Kluyveromyces lactis: one gene and its partner. The protein of the gene in region 1 purifies or fractionates together with the protein of each later gene. This does not show direct contact. Links are inferred from orthologs where the notes say so. Each region holds a gene or a part of one and is shown on either strand. Other genes may lie near its edges.

What was found.
Region 2: the proteins of CDC55 (region 1) and CCT6 purify together in Saccharomyces cerevisiae (affinity purification with mass spectrometry, with the first as the bait; 3 studies listed by BioGRID). This does not show direct contact. The link is inferred for Kluyveromyces lactis from reciprocal best matches to the Saccharomyces cerevisiae genes CDC55 and CCT6.

The regions. Positions count from the first base shown.
Region 1 is NC_006042.1:836,341-847,759, forward strand, and holds CDC55 (protein phosphatase 2A regulatory subunit CDC55), read left to right. Parts: upstream 1-6,250; coding exon 6,251-7,609; downstream 7,610-11,419. Other genes in the region: COX13 (cytochrome c oxidase subunit VIa), read right to left, coding at 8,361-8,744; IME4 (mRNA (N6-adenosine)-methyltransferase), read right to left, coding at 9,831-11,405.
Region 2 is NC_006040.1:1,550,562-1,558,907, forward strand, and holds CCT6 (chaperonin-containing T-complex subunit CCT6), read left to right. Parts: upstream 1-6,176; coding exon 6,177-7,811; downstream 7,812-8,346. Other genes in the region: SND1 (Snd1p), read right to left, coding at 339-2,471; CDD1 (cytidine deaminase), read left to right, coding at 3,424-3,867; methionine aminopeptidase MAP1, read left to right, coding at 4,394-5,521; SLY1 (syntaxin-binding protein), read left to right, coding at 8,174-8,346. UniProt on the Saccharomyces cerevisiae protein: Molecular chaperone; assists the folding of proteins upon ATP hydrolysis. Known to play a role, in vitro, in the folding of actin and tubulin. In yeast may play a role in mitotic spindle formation.

The DNA of each region.
Region 1 (11,419 bases):
TATTTGAGATTAGCCACCGATAAAAACCCTAGTATACTTTTAGAACTTGACTTACAGGGAAATGTTAAACACCTTAGCAAAGTATGGAACACCGTCATAGGAACCAATAGACTTAAGATCTTGGGGAATCCAGTCTCAAACATCATCATAGGAAGCGATTATGATAAGTCTGTTTTCCATCGTGCCTTGAATATGATGCTTGAAGATGATAATAGTTATAGAGTCAAATTTCTGACGGAAACCGGCGATTTAATGGGTGATACAGATCAATTGGGGTTGTCGAGCTCTCCTTCTAAATCCTCCGATTCTTCTTCTGTGAGTTCAAGTAGTGACGAAATCAATGCTGAAACTATTAGAAACGATAACAATGAGCTTATAGATGCAGAATGGCACGGAAATGGGGATACCATAGAATTAGAAGCGCAAGGAATCTTAATACATGATATTTATACCAAAAAACCATCGCACACTATGTGGATAGTAAAACCTCTTTATGATATTGATGAGTTAGATAATTTGCCGTATGATTTGGTAAAGAGATTAGGATTTGGGGCAAAACTTTTCTCCCAATATTTGCAGAAGATAGAAGATATGATGATCCTAGACGAGATGGATCTTCCCACTCCTAATTTCGAATTATGTCGAGTTTGTGAAGTTATGGTTCCTACATGGTGGCTCGAAACTCACTCTCAGATTTGCGTTTGTGAGCACAGACTAGAAAGTGTGGTGCAAACTGCACACGACGAGCTACTAGAACAGAAAGGTTTAATCGAATCGATTATTGGATCATTAGAAGAACAAGAGTACCCTCCCATTACAGAATATAAGAATTATCCACTACCCCAAATTAATAGTAGGGGAAGATCACCAAGTCCGCCATTCCATGAATCGAATGGATCCTATCGGTCATCTTCAATGGAAAGATCAAGTTCCTCACTGCTGAAATCATCTACTAATATTATGCAGCAAAACATGAGATTCCCATTTAAACCGCTATATATGTTGAAAGAGCTATGTGAAGAGGCAATTCAAGTCAATACAAGCCAGTTGAAAATGCAATCTGAAGAAATATACAATAATGGTATTCTGCACCCAACTTCAACATTCTATCAATTTTCCCCAAATACTGAATTGCATATTGATCATGTTTTGAATTGGAAATCTTCATTTGAAGTTTCAGATCCTGCCATAAATTTATTGATACAGGACACCATGGCTATATGTAGACAGAAGGTCGAAACTGTCATAAGAATGGACAACACTCTCAAATATTCACACAAAGTAAAGAATGAGGTGGATTTGTCAATTTCACAATTAATCAAAGAAAGGATTCACAGCAATCGATTGAATGTTTCTTACACTTTAGATCTAGTGCCGAATATCAATTCGGGACCAGGCTCAGCTGTTAATCTAGGAACACCTTCATCACCAAAATTAGCCACCCCTCTTCCACAACGGCTACCATCATCCAGTAACCTATTCTCTGATTCTTATATTGGCACCGACACTATTCCAGAACCTCATCCATTTGGCAAATCAAATGCTGACATTGCAAGATCTTACTTTGAAAACTCCGGTTCAAATTCTGCACATGCATCTAAATCTGTAACTCCTAAACAATCAGTAGGAGAGCAAGATTCTAAGATAACTACTGATGATATTTCAATGGGCGAAGGATTGGAAACTTCTATGGATAGCCGATCTAATCCTTCTACTCCTAAGTTTGCCCTGAACAATTATTTTCATCTTCCCAAATTAACAAGTAGTATCAGTCTCACTCCTCGAAGAGGATCACCTGTAAACTTCTCTACTCCTACCTCGTATACTCAGAATGGTGCTCAAATCAATCCAAATTATTTTTCTTCCGCCAATATCATGGGTTCGTTATCCACTACGAAGTCGATCACTGACAATTCGCCGATGCTCTCGCCCTTCATTTCCGGTTCTGAAGCAATGCAACTATCTGATAGTAATCAACATCGCAATCAACCTCTTTCACCGCTACTGCTTCCAACCACAGGTAAATCGATTATTCCTTCGATACGAGACTACGATGTGATTAAACCCATCAGTAAGGGCGCCTATGGGAGTGTCTACCTTGCTAAAAAGCGTGTCACTGGAGAGTATTTTGCTATCAAGGTACTCAAGAAATCAGATATGATCGCCAAGAATCAGGTAACGAATGTCAAATCGGAACGCGCAATAATGATGGTTCAGAGTGATAAGCCATATGTTGCTAGATTATATGCAACGTTTCAAAACAAAGAGAATTTATTTTTGGTGATGCAGTACTTGAGCGGAGGAGATATGGCTACTTTAATTAAAATGATGGGTAATTTGCCAGAAAAATGGGCAAAGCAGTATATTTGTGAAGTGATCTCAGGTGTTGATGACATGCATCAAAATGGTATCATTCACCATGATTTGAAACCAGACAATTTGTTGATTGATTCTTTAGGTCATATCAAATTGACAGACTTTGGGTTGTCACGTATGGGTCTTTTGCGTCGTCATAAAGAGAAGAGGCGTAACAGCCAAATTCAAAGTTCAAGAAATCCCAGTTTCACTTGTGATAGCTCTGTGACGCGTAAAAATTCTGTCACAGATTCATTACAATCCGTACCGGGCGCGGCTGAGAATATTTATGACTTAGTCAAAAAGACTAAAGGTCCCAATCATCCTCTAGCGCACATTCACAATCTCCATCAACTGTTACCGACGTACCTTATTTGAAAAGAAATGGTTCCCACGTTTCATTTACAATGGCTGGTCTTTCACGCTCCGGCACGCCTCCCTTATCTGCAACTTTGATGTCAACATCAGATCATCTAAGTATTCCCAACCAAAATCATCACCATCATTCCAGGACAAACTCAAACCTTTCTGAGACCAATGTCCACGATTCGCCTAAGGATTTGTCTTTATTCAATCCCAATGAATCTAAGAATTTTTTTGGAACTCCAGACTATCTCGCGCCAGAAACTATAAAGGGTACTGGCGAAAGTGATACTTGTGATTGGTGGTCCGTTGGGTGCATATTTTTTGAGTTTTTGTTTGGATATCCCCCATTTCATGGTACAACAGTAGATGAAGTCTTCGAAAATATAATTGGTGGTGTCATACGCTGGCCAGAATTCCCTGATGCGGAGACAGAAATGGAATACATATCACCAGATGCAAAAGATTTGGTAATTAAGTTATTGGTGCTTGATCCGAACAAGAGACTTGGTGCCAGTGGCTCTCAGGAGATCAAAGAGCATCCGTACTTCAAAGATGTTGATTGGGACCATGTGTATGACGAGCAACCATCATTTGTACCACGAGTGGAACATCCTGAAGACACTGAGTACTTCGATTTACGTGGAGCGTCTCTCGATGAATTTGCTGCTTCGAATTTCGATGAAGATAATGATTATACGATGCTAGACGCCAAAAATGGTACAAAATCACTCGACTCTCAGTTACATCGGAGACTGTCTGACCAAAGCAGTGGTAGAAACACTCCAAAACAAAGATTAAGTATAAGTTCTGTTCTTGAAATGGTGAACCAAAACTTAGAATCACCAACCGCGAACAATTCACCGATTACAAAACATATACCGCTCGCTATCCCTCCACACATGAGAGACAGACGTAGTAGCAAATTGAACGACTCCTCTCCAGAATTCGGCTCCTTTAACTACAGAAACTTAAATGCTTTAGATAAAGCCAATAAAGATGCAATCACTAGGTTGAAATCGGAACATCTGTCGGAGTACCTCCACCAGAGAACTTCAAGTTCGTCTTTATCTAGCTCTTCTTCGGAAAACTCAGGTAAGCTGAAACAATCAAGTGCTAATAGTGCACAGGGATCAGTCCCAACCTCTATGGGTACACGTAGATCTAACTCTCCTCAAGTACTGAAATGGAATACGAATGCTTCTCCAAGCAGGCGCAACAGTGTCGACACCATGAGCCCTCAACCGTCAGCGACTAAAAGATTTTCGGACATAGGATCATATCTAACTGAAGAATCTGCTCACGGGAGTTCTTCGACGTCATCTCCGTTAGCATCAAAATTCAAGTCTCCACTATCACCACCATCAGTAAACGGCACTCTGGGTTCAATTTCAAAATCACGGAAAGTATCAAGAAATAGTTTCGGTTCTACAACGGAGGATGATGAGAGACTCTCCGCATTATCAAGGGTAAACACCGTCAGAAAGCTCAGACGACGTAGTGGGCGGAAATCTTCTTCCAACTCGAACGGTATTAGATACAAGTTGGATGTCTTACTCTGTGAACCTATTCCAATTCATAGATACAGAGTAGCAGAAGACTTGGAAAGCATTGGGTGCTCTGTTGTTTCCGCTGGAAATGGTGAAGAGTTGGTTCGTCGTGCCACAACAGGCGTAAAGTTTGACCTAATCATCACAGCAATGAAACTTCCAAAATTAGGCGCAATCGATATAGCAAAACTTATAAGACATACCAATAGTGTCAATTGCACGACACCAATAGTAGCCTTAACAGTCTATTATCACGACGCCAAAGAATCTAAGGTGTTTGATGATGTCTTGGAAAAACCTGTAAGCGTGGAACAGTTACGGAAACTTGTGTCCAAATATGCGCTACTTAAGTCACAAAACGAAGAAGACACGCTTCTGAGTGACACAGAATCTTGAACAGCGAATAGACTTCGAACTCACGAATTGTCCTAAATATATATATATATATATATATATATTTATACTAGTCAATGCATACATACATATACACACTCTCTTTTATTGTGAAAGCTATGGATATAGGAACCTTATTGATAATTATAATGAATTTGACGTAGTCCTTCTGCAGCATTCAAAAAAAATAAAAAATAAAATAAAGGGAAAACTCAGATTTAAGGAAAGAATGCACAGAACCACCCCTTAAAGAATGATATACTTACCGAAGGTGTCAGGAAGATACACACACACACACCAGAGAGCTATCAGCACAATCGAGTCCTAAGCGGTTGTAGCAGCAAGTGTGTTACATACAGGAATAATTGATACAAGCTATTATAATTGCCGCTGTTTCTTTGCTTCTTTTTTAATCATCAAGTTCCCTTATTTGACGCTCAGATTCACTACACTTTTGGTCATATAACGTTTAATAAGAGAGCAGCAACAAATTACTAAAAGCAAATATACATCATTCATTTGATAGTCTTTTCTTCACTACATTTGCAAAGCTATAGTTTCCCTTTTAAAACAAACAAGAAGTGTCTGTTTTCAGTTAATGATTCTTACTTTTTATTGGAACTTAGAACACATTATTGATTGCTTCTCTACTGTAAGACAGCTGGATTGATAGTTACAGTGAGAAATTTGCCAATTGGACACACGTATTCCTTTTTATCGTTTTGTTTAACGCTGAAAATCCTTCGCAAAGCTTCCCCAGAGTACCCCCAATTAATCGTACTCTAGATATTCCCAAGTTTAAAATAGTCAAGTATCCTCTGGTAAACCCTTTCCATTTACTAGATTTACGTATTGCAGAGGCAAAAAAAGAAGAATTCTTCGAATCGTTCTAAGCGTCTTTTAGCCTCTCTTTTTTAAATCTACAAAATAACAGCATTATTATTTGCATCGCTATTTGTTAGAGCCAGCTCAACTGTTACATTTCTGACGCTCGTAAAGTGCTTTACTGTACCCCGTCAACCGTTCTCACGTGAAGTGCCTGCAGTTTTCTACCCACAAATCAATCGATTTTTCCTTCTTTTATCAAGAAAATCGTGAAATCGTCGAATTCTGATTTTTTTCTTCCAAAGAAAAGTTTTAGGAAATCGGAAACATTAAAGTTTTCTAGTTAAAAAAGTGTAAAGAAGGAAAAAGGGTTCTTCCTTGAAGTTAAAACACCGTTGACACGGTACCTTACAATCGTCTTTGAGAATTCAAGTGTTCCCAAGCACAGTAATTGTTGGTGAGCTCGTCACAATACACGTTAATAGCAAGTTTTAAGTGCGAATTTTGGGTTTTACTTCTATTCCCCTTTCTCAAAATCAGATTTCCCTACAGTTGAAAGAAAACTGAAAAGAAAAAGATCTGATTGCGTATACTTATCTGTTACTGTAGTCTGGTGGCCAATTCCAGTGTACATCTTTTGTTTCGACTTGGTTTAAACCTTTTGTTTTATTTCTGAAAAGCAGTTTAGCTGGGATCAGTTGTTTTATCTGTATTGGACGCGTGTGTTTTATTAGATTCCTCGATAGGAAGCGTTGGTAAGAGATATGTCACAGCACGGGTTCGATTTCAAGTTCAGTCAATGCTTTGGTGATAAAGCAGATATCGTGGTTACAGAGGCAGACATTATAACGGCGTCGGAGTTCGATCATACAGGTGATTATCTTGCAACCGGTGATAGAGGTGGACGTGTAGTTTTATTTGAAAGGAACAATACAAAGCATTGCGAATACAAGTTTCTAACGGAATTTCAGTCACACGATGCAGAATTCGATTATTTGAAATCTTTAGAGATTGAGGAGAAGATTAATCAGATCAAGTGGTGTCGGCCAACGAACCAATCGCATTTCTTGTTAAGTACAAACGATAAGACGATTAAGTTGTGGAAGATATATGAGAAAAATATCAAATTGGTTAGTGATAACAATCTATCAGAGGGAAATAAAGACTACCACAGACGCTCTGCTGGGAACGGTAGCGCAAGAGCTGTACTGTCTTTGCAGACTTTGAAGTTACCCAAGCTGTCCTTACATGATAGAATTATAGCTGCTGCACCAAAGAAGATTTATAGTAATGCTCACACCTATCACATCAATTCGATATCGTTGAATTCAGATCAGGAAACGTTCATCAGTTCAGATGATTTGAGAATCAACTTATGGAATTTAGATATACCGGACGAATCATTCAATATTGTTGATATTAAACCAGCCAACATGGAGGAACTAACAGAAGTCATTACAAGTGCAGAATTCCATCCTCAACAGTGTAATGCTTTCATGTATTCTTCATCGAAGGGGACCATCAAATTATGCGACATGAGACAGAATGCTCTTTGTGATTACCGAGCTAAGGTGTTCGAAGAATACCTTGACCCAATAAGTCATAATTTTTTCACAGAAATCACTTCATCAATATCTGACGTCAAATTCAGTCCTGATGGTCGTTATATTGCATCTCGTGATTATTTAACCGTTAAGATATGGGATATTAACATGGATAATAAGCCATTGAAAACGATAAATATCCATGAACAACTAGAAGAAAGATTAAATGATACTTATGAAAATGATGCTATATTCGATAAATTCGAAGTTGCTTTCAGTGGTGATAGTTCAAGTGTAATGACAGGATCATACAACAATAACTTTATGATTTATCCCAACGTAGTAAAAACGGGCGATTATCAAGCACCTACTGGAATGGATGAAATTGTATTACAAGCAGATAAGACTGCATTTAAATCAAAGAGGTTGAGTAGTTTGCAACAGCAAAGTGCGAGAAATAAAGAATGGGGTGATGAAATTGATTTCAAAAAATCCATTCTGCATTTCTCTTGGCATCCAAGAGAAAATAGTGTTGCCATTGCAGCCACTAATAATTTGTTCATCTTCTCGGCATTGTAATTTTACTCCTCATCAAGTTGTAATCAATAGTGTTACAGTTTGCCATTTTACATACGTATATCCATATGTACATATAATCTCTAATTTTCTCGTCGAATTAAATAACATATCGAAGGTAAACTAATAGCTCGGGGCATAGCTTCAAGTGTGCTCCGGATATATTCTGGATATATGTTGTATATACGCTGTACCAGCGTATCACTTTTCGTTTTCCCCTTATTTTTTGTTCGGTTAACAATGGGGAACAATGTAAAGTTAAAGTTTTTGGAACGTAAAGTCAGTTTGTATTCATCATTCGTGAAAAAAAAGTAAGTATTGAGTTACTAAAGACGTTTGCCATAACGCTGAGCATATCGAAGTTGATGTACTGCTTGTCACAGATTCAGTACAATAGATATTGATAATGAAGAAACTTATATCTACTTATGATCATTGACACAGTGTGACGTGTTTTATTCTATTTTTCTAGGACTGAATTTACAATAAAGATAAAAAGTGTGTTTATTCTTCTTGAGTTAAATAATAATTATTTGTATGGTGGAAACTCCACTATAAAGTTTATCCATATGTTTGTTGTATTTTGAAGTATAATGCCAGATTAAACGGATGTTTGAATTCTTTTGAAGATAATTTGAGGATATTTGATAAAAGGTGTTTTAAAAGATAAAAAAACCCACAGGCAGGGGCTATCTTGATATTTCATTATGAATGGCCAAAGCCCAACAAGTTGAGATCATTTATCGAACTGTGTTTAATCGTGAGAGACGTGTCTGTTAATGACTGGGTTCCAGAACAAAGTCTTGTCACCGTCACCCCAGAAGAAAGGCTTTTGTCTTAAGTTTTGGAATTCGTAGTCTCTTGGCCATTCTTCATCTGGAACGTGCTTCAAATGTTCACGGTGCTCAGCGTGTTCAGCTTCAACGAAGTAGGTGTTGACAGCGGTCAGAGCAATAGCTGGAGCAGCAACAAATATGGAGATCTTAACCCACAAGTTAGAGGTTTGCTTAGCGTGCTCAGTACTGTGCTTCATGTAGTCCTTGTAAGCTTGGGCAGCAGCCAAATCTGGCTTACCGAAAGCTGGTTCCAAAGCATACTTTGGTAGAGTAGAAGCTCTTCTAATGGCTTGTTTGAACATTTTTGATTATATCTAGGGTCTGGCTTTTCGAAACAGAATATCCTTATGGAATTAATTCACCAAACACAGTTGACGTTAAATAGATATCAAACTCGAAATGAATGTAAAATGAATTGTAAACAGTAAGAAAACTAATCACAAAAATCTCTTTTAAAAAAGTACTTTGACTTACCAATAAAACCTTTTCTATTATGGAAAGAGTAGCTTTAATAACTTGAACTTTCCTAACTATTAAACAATTTTTTTTTTCCTACCTCCAAAATTTTCTAGCATCAACACAATCTCTCTCGCGATATTTCCATATCCCACTCCATATAAAAAACCAAAAATGGCACGACGGAGAAACTAGACAAAGATCATGCTTTTTCGATGTTGTAATTTCGGTATCACATTACACGGTATGAAAATGATTGGTTGCTGGTCACGAGAGACTTAAGTTCTGGTAATGGACACTGAGCATAAAAGGTTCCTATTCCTTGTTTAAATGGTGTTGCTGTCTCGCCGGGACTACAAACCCACAAGTAGCTCATACGATACCGTTCACACTGGCAACAGATTCAGAAGTACTTCCTACTTTATTTTCTGTTTCTGTTGCATCTCTTTATACATATTGACAAACAGTGTAATATTGACGTTCAGGAATTCAAGTCCGGGTAACAATATTTGTTTCACGGCCTGGCGGTAATTGATTTTGGGTTTTTAGCAAACCTGAGCCATCGCATGTCATTCTAGTAGCTGCTGCAGGGACTTGCCGGCTGGGGTTGGTGTAGTGGACAGAAACACCGTTCCTAATATATAGAATGCTAGATTAAGCTGAGAGCTTGTTGCATTGAATTCAAAAAACAAGCGCGTTGGCTAATAGAACGCCCGTAGGATCAGCCATGGTTATGGAAATCAAAAGATTGCCTATTGCTGCTTAAGTGTAGCACGAACTTGTGGGTAATGTAACGTTTGTAATTACAAGGGCGTATGACATAAATTAAAAAAAAGAAGAAAAGTAAGAAGGAACACATACAGACTCCTAATGGATACTGTGTATCGACAAATAAAAGCTAGGACATTTGAAGTAAAGAGAGTATTACATCTTTAGTTTGTCTTTGAATTCTTTGATTTTTCCATGAATCTTTCGTATTTCCTTTTCACATCCACTTCATGGATAGATGAGCCTGTCACTTGATTTCCTATCGTGAACCATCCAGGACGGATGTTATGGTCCCTACCGAAAATTTCAAGTTTACGGGCATGTGTACCGACAAGTCTTTCAATGATTCCATACAATTCGTCCGGCTTTCTACTGGTTTCTCTAGTTGCGCTAATGATCAAGTCAATGTCTATTTTTCTGTTTAGCCATTCCGGATTGCCTTTGACCCCGACGAGTAAATGCTCTTTACTGTGGTTCAACCAATGGCCAGTTCTACCTGTCACAATTGTTCTTCCTAATTGGTTTGTCTTGATCCAAGATATTTCATTTATTACTTCGTAACCCCAATTCTGCAATGATTCTTTCCCTACTTCGATAGCACGGCCGGTTACCCACAAGAACAATAAACCTTCTTCCTGCAAGAGATCAAATGGTAGTTGCAGTAACTCATTATCATTGCAAGTACCGTAGGGCAAATTCATATGAATGTTCCATGCGGGATCTGCAATAACGGCTGAAAATTTACCAAGAATATCGAAGTCAAACTTTCTGACGTCACATTTGATCCATTGTGGAGGAAGAAGCTTCTTAAACGATGAAGAACAGCACTCTCCATGCGTATAGAACGAATACTGCTTGCGTTGCTCTTTTTGTTCTTCAATTTTCTGTTTTTGGAGAGATTCAGGATAATATTGCAGATAGTGGACGTATCTGCAGGTACTTAACTTGTGACAAGTATCCAAATACGAACAATCTCCCAACGAAAGATCCGTCTGTGGCTTTAAATTTGGTATGAAATGAATGTGCGTGTTCGAACATTCGATAATATCCGGACAATCAGCTTCAATCTTCTTTAATTTTTCACCTTGCAAAGACATGATTTTGTTGTTAACAGTATTGATGACGGTGGATAGTAGTGACACATGTTTCGGATCTGAGCATATTGGTATGAAAGGTGATCGCTTAGTGTTTAATTTTGCCTGTTCTTTAGATAACTTAGTGGATCCGAGTTCTAACGAGAGGATTTGATTTAAGTGTCTTAGACACTTAGCATTAGGGGTTACAATTTCACTCTGGTCCAAAATGCCCATCAACTTATTTAATAATATGGGTTCGCTTTCAATTTTTCTTTCTTTAACCTGAACAGAATCTTTATCGATCGCAATCTGCTTGGCTTTATTGCCAGTATGTGATAATGACAATTTAATAGCTTGGTCATAATGAACTTTTTGCAATATTTTCAAGGAGTCCCCATCAACAAATGAAATCTTTTGGCCAAAAATATTCCCGCCACTATCATCTTCAAAATTCATGCAACCACCACATACTTCTGAAATTTTATTCAAATCTTCACAAAACTGGTAATACGTCTCACCACATTCGTTATTCTTCCATAGGAAATTTTGCATGAACATGGAATAAATGACATAAATGTCGTGTAAGCTACCATTGATCGGGGATGCAGTGATGGACGCATAGTTGTCCAACATAAAATCAACTAACCCCCAATTCAAAGACATAATACCAGTTTCAC
Region 2 (8,346 bases), on another chromosome or scaffold:
GTTGCTCACTTCTCAGGTTCGTACTCTTCTTTGTTTATATGGCAAATTTATGCTACCGTCGTTATACTTTATTGGATTTCTTTTTCTGTTTTCACTCTCTAGCTTTCAACGGTTTTTCTATTTAGGGTTATCTGACTAGCAACTAATGGAAAAATCTGGGTAAATTAACAGTAGGTAGTACACATATTTATAAACGTTATACACGTGATTAATTTACACTGATTCTACAATGCAAATACTCGGATTAGTGAGCTGAATAAAGGCTTTAAAGAGCTTCAAATAGAAAAATTGATCATCTCTAAGAAATGGGGGTGGATGCCTTACTACTGTATCAGCCATTATCTTGCATTACCCCCTAATATCCAACCACCAGAACTGTTTATATCGTCATCACCGTACAAATCTAGAGTGAACTTAGGTTTGTTGTAAGTAGGCTTTTTGGAACCTGGTTCTTCATTACTTCTGTCTTGCTGCGTGTGGTCCATTTCTATTGTAGAAACACTTTCCGACCCTGACCTGTTCTGTGTTGAATCTTCGTAAATTTGTATATTTAATTTATTCTGCGAGGTTGAGTTGAGCTCTTTGAGAGGGTGAAGTTTGCCTGATATAAGGGTATTCGATGATTCGACATCAGAAGTTCCTGCAATTGTTTCATCCTCGTGAGATGAAATACAGCCAGACATTAATAAATCTTCTTCGTCTGCTTCCAAAGATGGTATTTTTTTGTTGGGATGGAAACTCAATGCTAATCCGAACTTATCAGAAAGTAGCTCATGATTCAGAAGAATCGGTTTCTTTCTTACTTCTTCGAATGATTTGTTGATCAGATCTTTACCGAACAAGGAACTGCTTGTATTGTTACTGGAGTTATTTTGCCCTTGGGCTTCAATTTTCGGAGCTAGTAGCTTGGAAAAGGTTCCAGGCAATAAACTTAAATTGTTCAACGAGGAGTTTGAGCTGTTGTTACTTGTGGATGGGGATGATATTCTAGAATAGAACACAGGTGGAATTAACCCATGTGAGATGTTACTTGCTGAAGATGAATTTCCAATCTTTCTTCTTTGTGGTGCTGTAATATTATCGGACCCATCACCATCGAAGTGGCCATCATGAACATAGATATTAGTGTATCTATCGCTACGTAGAGAGTTTTGCGTTGGCGAACAAATTTCATCCTCCATATTTTCTAGACTTGGGGGCTCATCTTCTCTCGGTTCCGTAAAGGGGGCTTCCAAAGTAGAGTCTATTAAACTGATGGATCTAAATCTTCTGGTGGCTGAACCCTGCGATGGATCCTTGTTCTGTGTTTCGTTATCAGAAGCATAAGATGAAAGCTTACTTGGAGCATAAAAACTCAATCCGTCGTCATCTTCATCATCATCATCATCATCATCATCATCATCATCATCATCATCATCATCATCATCATCATCATCATCATCATCATTACCGTCATTATCGTCAGCCTCGTCATCTGAACTAGCCTGATTTCCAGAGAAAGGATTATTAGTTTCCGAACTCTGGAATTTTGTTGCTCTATTAGATTTTCTGTTGATGGATAATGATCGTATTCGTACAGATTTGTCCTTATTAGAGGTAAGTATACTATTCTGGAAGCTTAATATCGAAGATGAGTTTCTGGTCAATGGAGTATCATCTTCACTGTCAGTTGGGGAAAAGGTTTCTGATGACGTCAAAGATTTTTTGTTCTTCAAAGAGGTGTTATTTAAGGCCTCTAATGACTGTTCAGATAAGTATGTCGTCAATGGCTTGTCAGACAAAATTGTTAACAACGCCTTAACTCCCGTATTATTCGTAACAACAATGACACAATCACAGTTCATCGGCGACACTTTATGAGAAAATTTGTCGTTTAACCGGCGGTAATATTCCTTAAACGGGGTGGTTGATTTGGATATCATATTATAATTTTCTATTTGATCAAAGTCAACGCAACAAGAGTGCAACATTTCTTTCGAAAGGAAAGTGGTAAACCATTTCAAAGAGGTTGGAGTGACTTTTATTTTATAATTGATATGACATCTTTCGCCAAGAGTTTCTTTTAGTTCCGTCCAAACAGTCTCTATCAAAAACTTGACTGTCTCTACGTATCTCAATGAGCCACTAGAAGAAATTTCCAAATGGAAATCAAAATCGCCTGCGAGTTGTCTTGAAAGTGTCCAAAGTTCATCATTTTCACCTATTATACTCTTCAAAATTTTATCTCTCAGCCTATGCAACTTAAACTTTTTGTTTATTCGAGAGAGCCTGTTATCCTTAAGCTCATCATTATAATAATCAATCGTTGGGATATCGATGTAAAGATATACGTTAAAGTTGCTCATGATCGGCGTCAACCGATCACAATATGAGATGAGATACAAAGAATCGACATTCTGTACTCGAACCTTTGAAGGTTCATGAACCTGCTGGTTCCATAACCGTGATGTTATATTAGTGGAGGAATCCATTTATTATAGTAATCCGTTGGAGATGTATTTGCATAAAATCAAGGATGCCTCAATAATCGGATTATGAATGGGTGTAGTTGAATCATAAGAAGAGAAAGACGCAGACTTACAGGATCTGATTTGCAGCTCAGAACCAGTAGAATAAAAGCAATAGTGATATGTAACAAATTCTCAAACTAGGAAACCTAATCTGCTTATTAATTTTGACCTTTAACCAGCGATAATTGAAGTTGCACCAGTAAATGAGTCAAATCAAACCAAACAAAAAAGTATACTAATTCGAAGACAACGTGAATAAGAAAACAAGGAAACCACAAGGTCCTTCAGCAAAGTTAGCAGCGATAAAGGTACTCTCCTTTGCGTTAAAATAGGAAAAAAAAAATAATGCAGTGGTGTCAAGTAAGGCGAAATCAGCTTCTCGTTCTCCTCTTTCCACAACTGCTGTTTTATGTTCAAGCTTTCACCTTTTCTCGTTCCTGACTTATACCTAGTTTCAGTTTTTTTTTTCTTTCTTCTTTCTTTCTTCTTCCGCTTTAGTTTGAGCGCTGACACTTCAGGTCACGTGACGAGAATTTTTGGACCCTCGTACATGTTTAGCATGACACAAAACGTGATAGGACTTAAGGAAGAGCATCGTACTATACCCCTGCGAGCATCTAATATGGCGGGAAAACTGTATCAGTAGACAAACGGGAACTGTTAGCTTTACTATATTTACATACATATAGTTCATATGTGCTTTGCGATCAACGGTAATTTTTTGTAAGTAAAAGCAGCCAAGACGAAATCAAGCAGATAGTGACATATTTCATTATATAAAATCTCGATATGATAACGATGTATTTCTCACACAAGAAGATATCAGCCATCGTTGTATAAAGAAACCAAGAGGCGAGCGTATAATACACGCTGGACCCAGTTCGCTACTGAATACGCATCATTGCAGTATAAAATGGAGATCAAGAGCAAACTGGACGGTATTGAACCTACACAGGTAGATAGAGCCATTTTAGAGAGTCAAAAAGCAAAAAGTGGTTCCTATAGTCCATATTCAAAATTTAGGGTCGGATGTTGCATACTGACAAAAGATGGTACTTATATCACAGGAAGCAATGTGGAGAATGCTACGTATGGAGCCACCATATGTGCAGAAAGAGCTGCTATCGTGAAAGCTGTCACAAGCTCCCACAGAGCAGATTGGGTTTGTGTCGCTATCAACAGCGATATGAGAGATAATTACATTCCGCCATGTGGAATCTGTCGGCAAACGATCAGAGAGTTTGGAAAAGAAGATCTGCCAATAATAATGACAAACTGCGACACCTCTGTCAAAAAAATTATGACCCTCAATGAACTATTGCCAGAAAGCTTCGGCCCAGATCACTTTCATAGGTGAGCTAAGATTCGACTCTTTTTTGTGCAAGATTTGAACTTTTCCATAGTAAGAAACGAAATCAAAAATCAAGAAAGTTCTATATAGTAATTATTCATTAGCGTTTTGAGAGAAAGTTAAGAAAACATGCCTTTGGAAAACACCTTCTCATAAGCTAGCTACTTAGGATCAGAAGTAACCGCCAGTTAATCAAAATTTTCTAAGCACTATTCTCTCAATCGCCCTAAACCGAGGTTGTTCCTAAGATATTTAGAAATGTGTCATAGATAATGCGGAGTCTTCGCACTGTAGAATTAAAAGAAAAGTATGACATTTAAACTCATCTGACTTTTCAAATAAAATTTTTTGTTTCGACCTTTAATAAAGAACATGAGAACGAGATGCGATGAGAGAAGCTCAGATACAGCTCTTTCTACTCCTCTCTCTCACTTATTTATACCAAACGTATTCCAAGTGATATAGAAGGTGTTTCTGAACTGCACTTACTGACATAGCAGCTGTAAATCTTGGAAGACACTAAGAGGAAAAAATGCAGGAAAAAATCGCTAATGTCCGTTGTTCTAGTCTACAATGTGGTAAAGTTACAGATTCGATGTTAAAATGCCCGATTTGCTTGAAGCAAGGTATTGAAGAGGTCTTTTGTGGAGAATCTTGTTTCAAAGACGGGTACAAACAGCATAAGGCTTTACATTATGGTACAGATGGTTCTGGTGAGGTGTATGATCCGTTTCCAAAATTCAAGTATACTGGCAAGCTGAAAGCTCAATACCCTCTGTCGCCAAAAAGACAGGTCCCAGATGAGATCGAGAAACCAGATTGGGCAGAAAATGGGCTACCCATCATCGAACAAAGAAATGATAGAACAAACAAGATTCCTGTCTACAATAAGGAGCAAATTAAGAGGATCAGAAAAGCTTGTGCTCTAGGTAGAGAAGTGCTAGATGTTGCGGCCGCCGCAGTTAGACCAGGTATCACTACGGATGAAATTGATGAGATAGTGCATAACGAGACTATCAAGAGGGGAGCATACCCATCTCCTCTCAACTACTATAATTTCCCTAAATCCGTCTGTACTTCTGTGAACGAGATTATCTGTCATGGTGTTCCTGACAAATATGTTCTAAAAGAGGGAGATATTGTCAATTTAGATGTCTCATTGTATTACCAAGGCATGCATGCAGATTTAAACGAAACTTACTACGTTGGTGAGACTATCGCCAAGGATGTCATAAATACCGTTGAAACTGCCCGTGAATGTTTGAAACTCGCCATCAAGATGTGTAAACCAGGCGTAACTTTTCAATCCTTGGGAGACTGCATTGAAAAGCACTCCAAATCCAACAAATGCTCTGTTGTTAGGACTTACTGTGGTCATGGTGTCGGTGAGTTTTTCCACTGTGCCCCCAGCATTCCACATTATGCTAACAACAGAACGCCCGGTGTCATGAAACCTGGAATGGTCTTCACTATAGAACCTATGATTAACGAAGGTGTATGGCAAGATATCACCTGGCCTGACGATTGGACTTCTTCAACAAAGGATGGTAAAGTTAGTGCTCAGTTTGAGCAAACCCTTTTGGTCACCGAGAATGGTGTTGAAGTCTTGACGGCAAGGAACAAGAAGTCTCCAGGCGGCCCAAGAAATAGGATAAAATAGACCCAGTGAAATGACAATAGTTAAAAAATGAATATCAATAGAGAAAGTTACTGTTTACCTCGTTTCGTATAGGAAACAATCCATAAAACAGCCATCATCGTCGTCATAACGGACATCATTTCGGCATAGTCTTTCATGTGAATAGATTCAATACATATCATCATATAAATCAATTTACAGAAGACCAAAATATTTAGAGAATTCTCATTGAAAACCACTATTAGTATTTATTATACTGAAGATGTGCGGTCCTACTAAAGTATAATCTTCATCATCTTTGCATAAATATGAGGATCACGACAGCATGGATTGTTGCTTTGCTTCAATAACCGGGTAACCATTAGCTTTCGCCACTTCCAAAGAAAAAAAATTAATCGAAAACAGTGATCTAAGTTTTCTGATGGAGAAAGTAAAGCTTTTAATTATGGCTAACGTTCGGTGTTGAAGAAGAATAACATTCAAAAGAGTGAAAGATACTGTTGCATTTTCGTCCACAACGTTGATTCTAATAGAACCGAAATCAATCTATACTCTCTAATATTTAGTTGTGATATTCATTGCAGTCAATTGCTTGCATCTTATTATCCAGATCAAAAGTCATAATTTGACAATACCAATTACGTGCAGTGCATAATAGAGAGAAAGCAAGATAATTATGTCAGTTCAGTTGTTAAATCCAAAGGCCGAGTCCCTAAGAAGAGATGCTGCTTTAAAAGTCAACGTCACTTCAGCGGAGGGTCTTCAATCCGTTTTGGAAACTAACCTAGGACCTAAGGGTACTTTGAAAATGTTGGTCGATGGTGCCGGTAATATCAAGTTGACCAAAGATGGTAAAGTCCTATTGACTGAAATGCAAATACAGTCTCCGACTGCTGTCATGATTGCTCGTGCAGCCACTGCCCAAGATGAAATTACTGGGGACGGTACTACAACCGTTGTCTGCTTGGTGGGAGAACTGATGAAACAAGCTTATAGATATATTCAAGAAGGTGTCCATCCAAGAACAATTACTGACGGGTTTGAGATTGCAAGAAAGGAAACCTTAAGTTTTTTGGATACCTTCAAAATCGAAAAGAGCGCTGAGGAGGATTTGGATCGTGAATTTTTATTGCAGGTTGCCAGAAGTTCCTTATGTACTAAAGTCAACCCAGAACTCACTGAAGTTTTAACACCAATCGTCACTGATGCTGTTTTGGCTGTTCAAGATCCTAACAACAGAAATCTAGATTTACACATGATTGAAATAATGCAAATGCAACATCTATCTCCACAGGATACCACTTTTGTTAAAGGATTAATTTTGGATCATGGAGGAAGACATCCTGATATGCCAACCAGAGTCGAAAATGCACATGTTTTGATTCTAAATGTTTCTTTGGAATATGAGAAGACGGAAGTCAACTCTGGTTTCTTTTACAGCTCTGCTGACCAACGAGACAAGTTGGCTGCTAGTGAAAGAAAATTTGTTGATGAGAAATTAAAAAAAATCATCGACTTGAAGAATGAAGTATGTGGTATGGATTCTAAAGAGGGTTTTGTTATCATAAACCAAAAAGGTATCGACCCAATGTCATTAGATGTTCTTGCTAAACACAACATTCTTGCTCTAAGAAGAGCCAAGAGACGTAATATGGAAAGACTACAACTCGTCACTGGGGGTGAAGCTCAAAATTCCGTTGATGATCTTTCGCCTAAAATTTTAGGTTATTCCGGATTGGTTTACCAGGAAACTATCGGCGAGGAGAAATTTACTTACGTCACCGAAAACAGAGATCCTAAGTCTTGTACCATTTTGATTAAAGGTTCTACTCACCACGCTTTGACCCAAACCAAAGATGCAGTAAGAGATGGTTTAAGAGCTGTTGCAAATGTCATCAAAGACAGTGCTGTCGTTCCTGGCGCTGGGGCATTCTTCATTTCTGCTTCCCAGCACTTGAAAAGGGCGAATATGAACAAGCTAGGCGCCAAAGGTAAAGCAAAAACAGGTGTACAAGCCTTTTCAGACGCACTTTTGTCTATTCCTAAGACATTAATAAAGAATTCCGGATATGATGCCCTTGATGTACTTGCCCAATGCCAAGACGAGTTGGAAGAAGATGAGACAAGAATAGTGGGTGTTGATCTAAATATTGGCGACTCTTGTGATCCAACTATAGAAGGTGTTTGGGACTCTTATCGTGTCCTCAGAAATGCAGTAACTGGTGCCGCAGGTATAGCCTCTAACTTGTTGCTATGCGACGAACTACTCAGAGCCGGTAGATCTACATTGAAGGAAGGTCCACCACAATAATGAAGCTGGTACAATTAAAAAATATCACTGTCTTTAACGTAGGTTCCAAAATCAAATAGAATTATGTATACTAAATGGAAATAAATACGAAGTACAAGACTCAAGTTTGGCCGATGTATATGTAATATGCGATCTCTTCACGAGTGCTATAGATCCAAATCTACGTGTTGGCCAAATACCGTTTCCATCACCGAAAACGAAATACTAATATACTTCAAAAAATGATTAAACATCAAAACTGGAAGCACCTTTATAATAAACAGACACACCAAAAGTACAGAAAGTACGGACGAGAGTGAAGTCATTGACTGCAAACCATTGAACAGCATACCTCATCGGGATCACATATATACCAGAGTAATATGCTGAATTCAGAATTGTCCTTAAGAGACAGACAGATTCTGTCTATTGAAAAGATGCTACTGTTCAATTCAGATAAAGGAACGGAAGCAGCAACAAGCAATCTTGATGAACAAGAGATCGTTTGGAAAGTACTGATCATGGATGCTAGGAGCACCGCTATAATATCATCTGT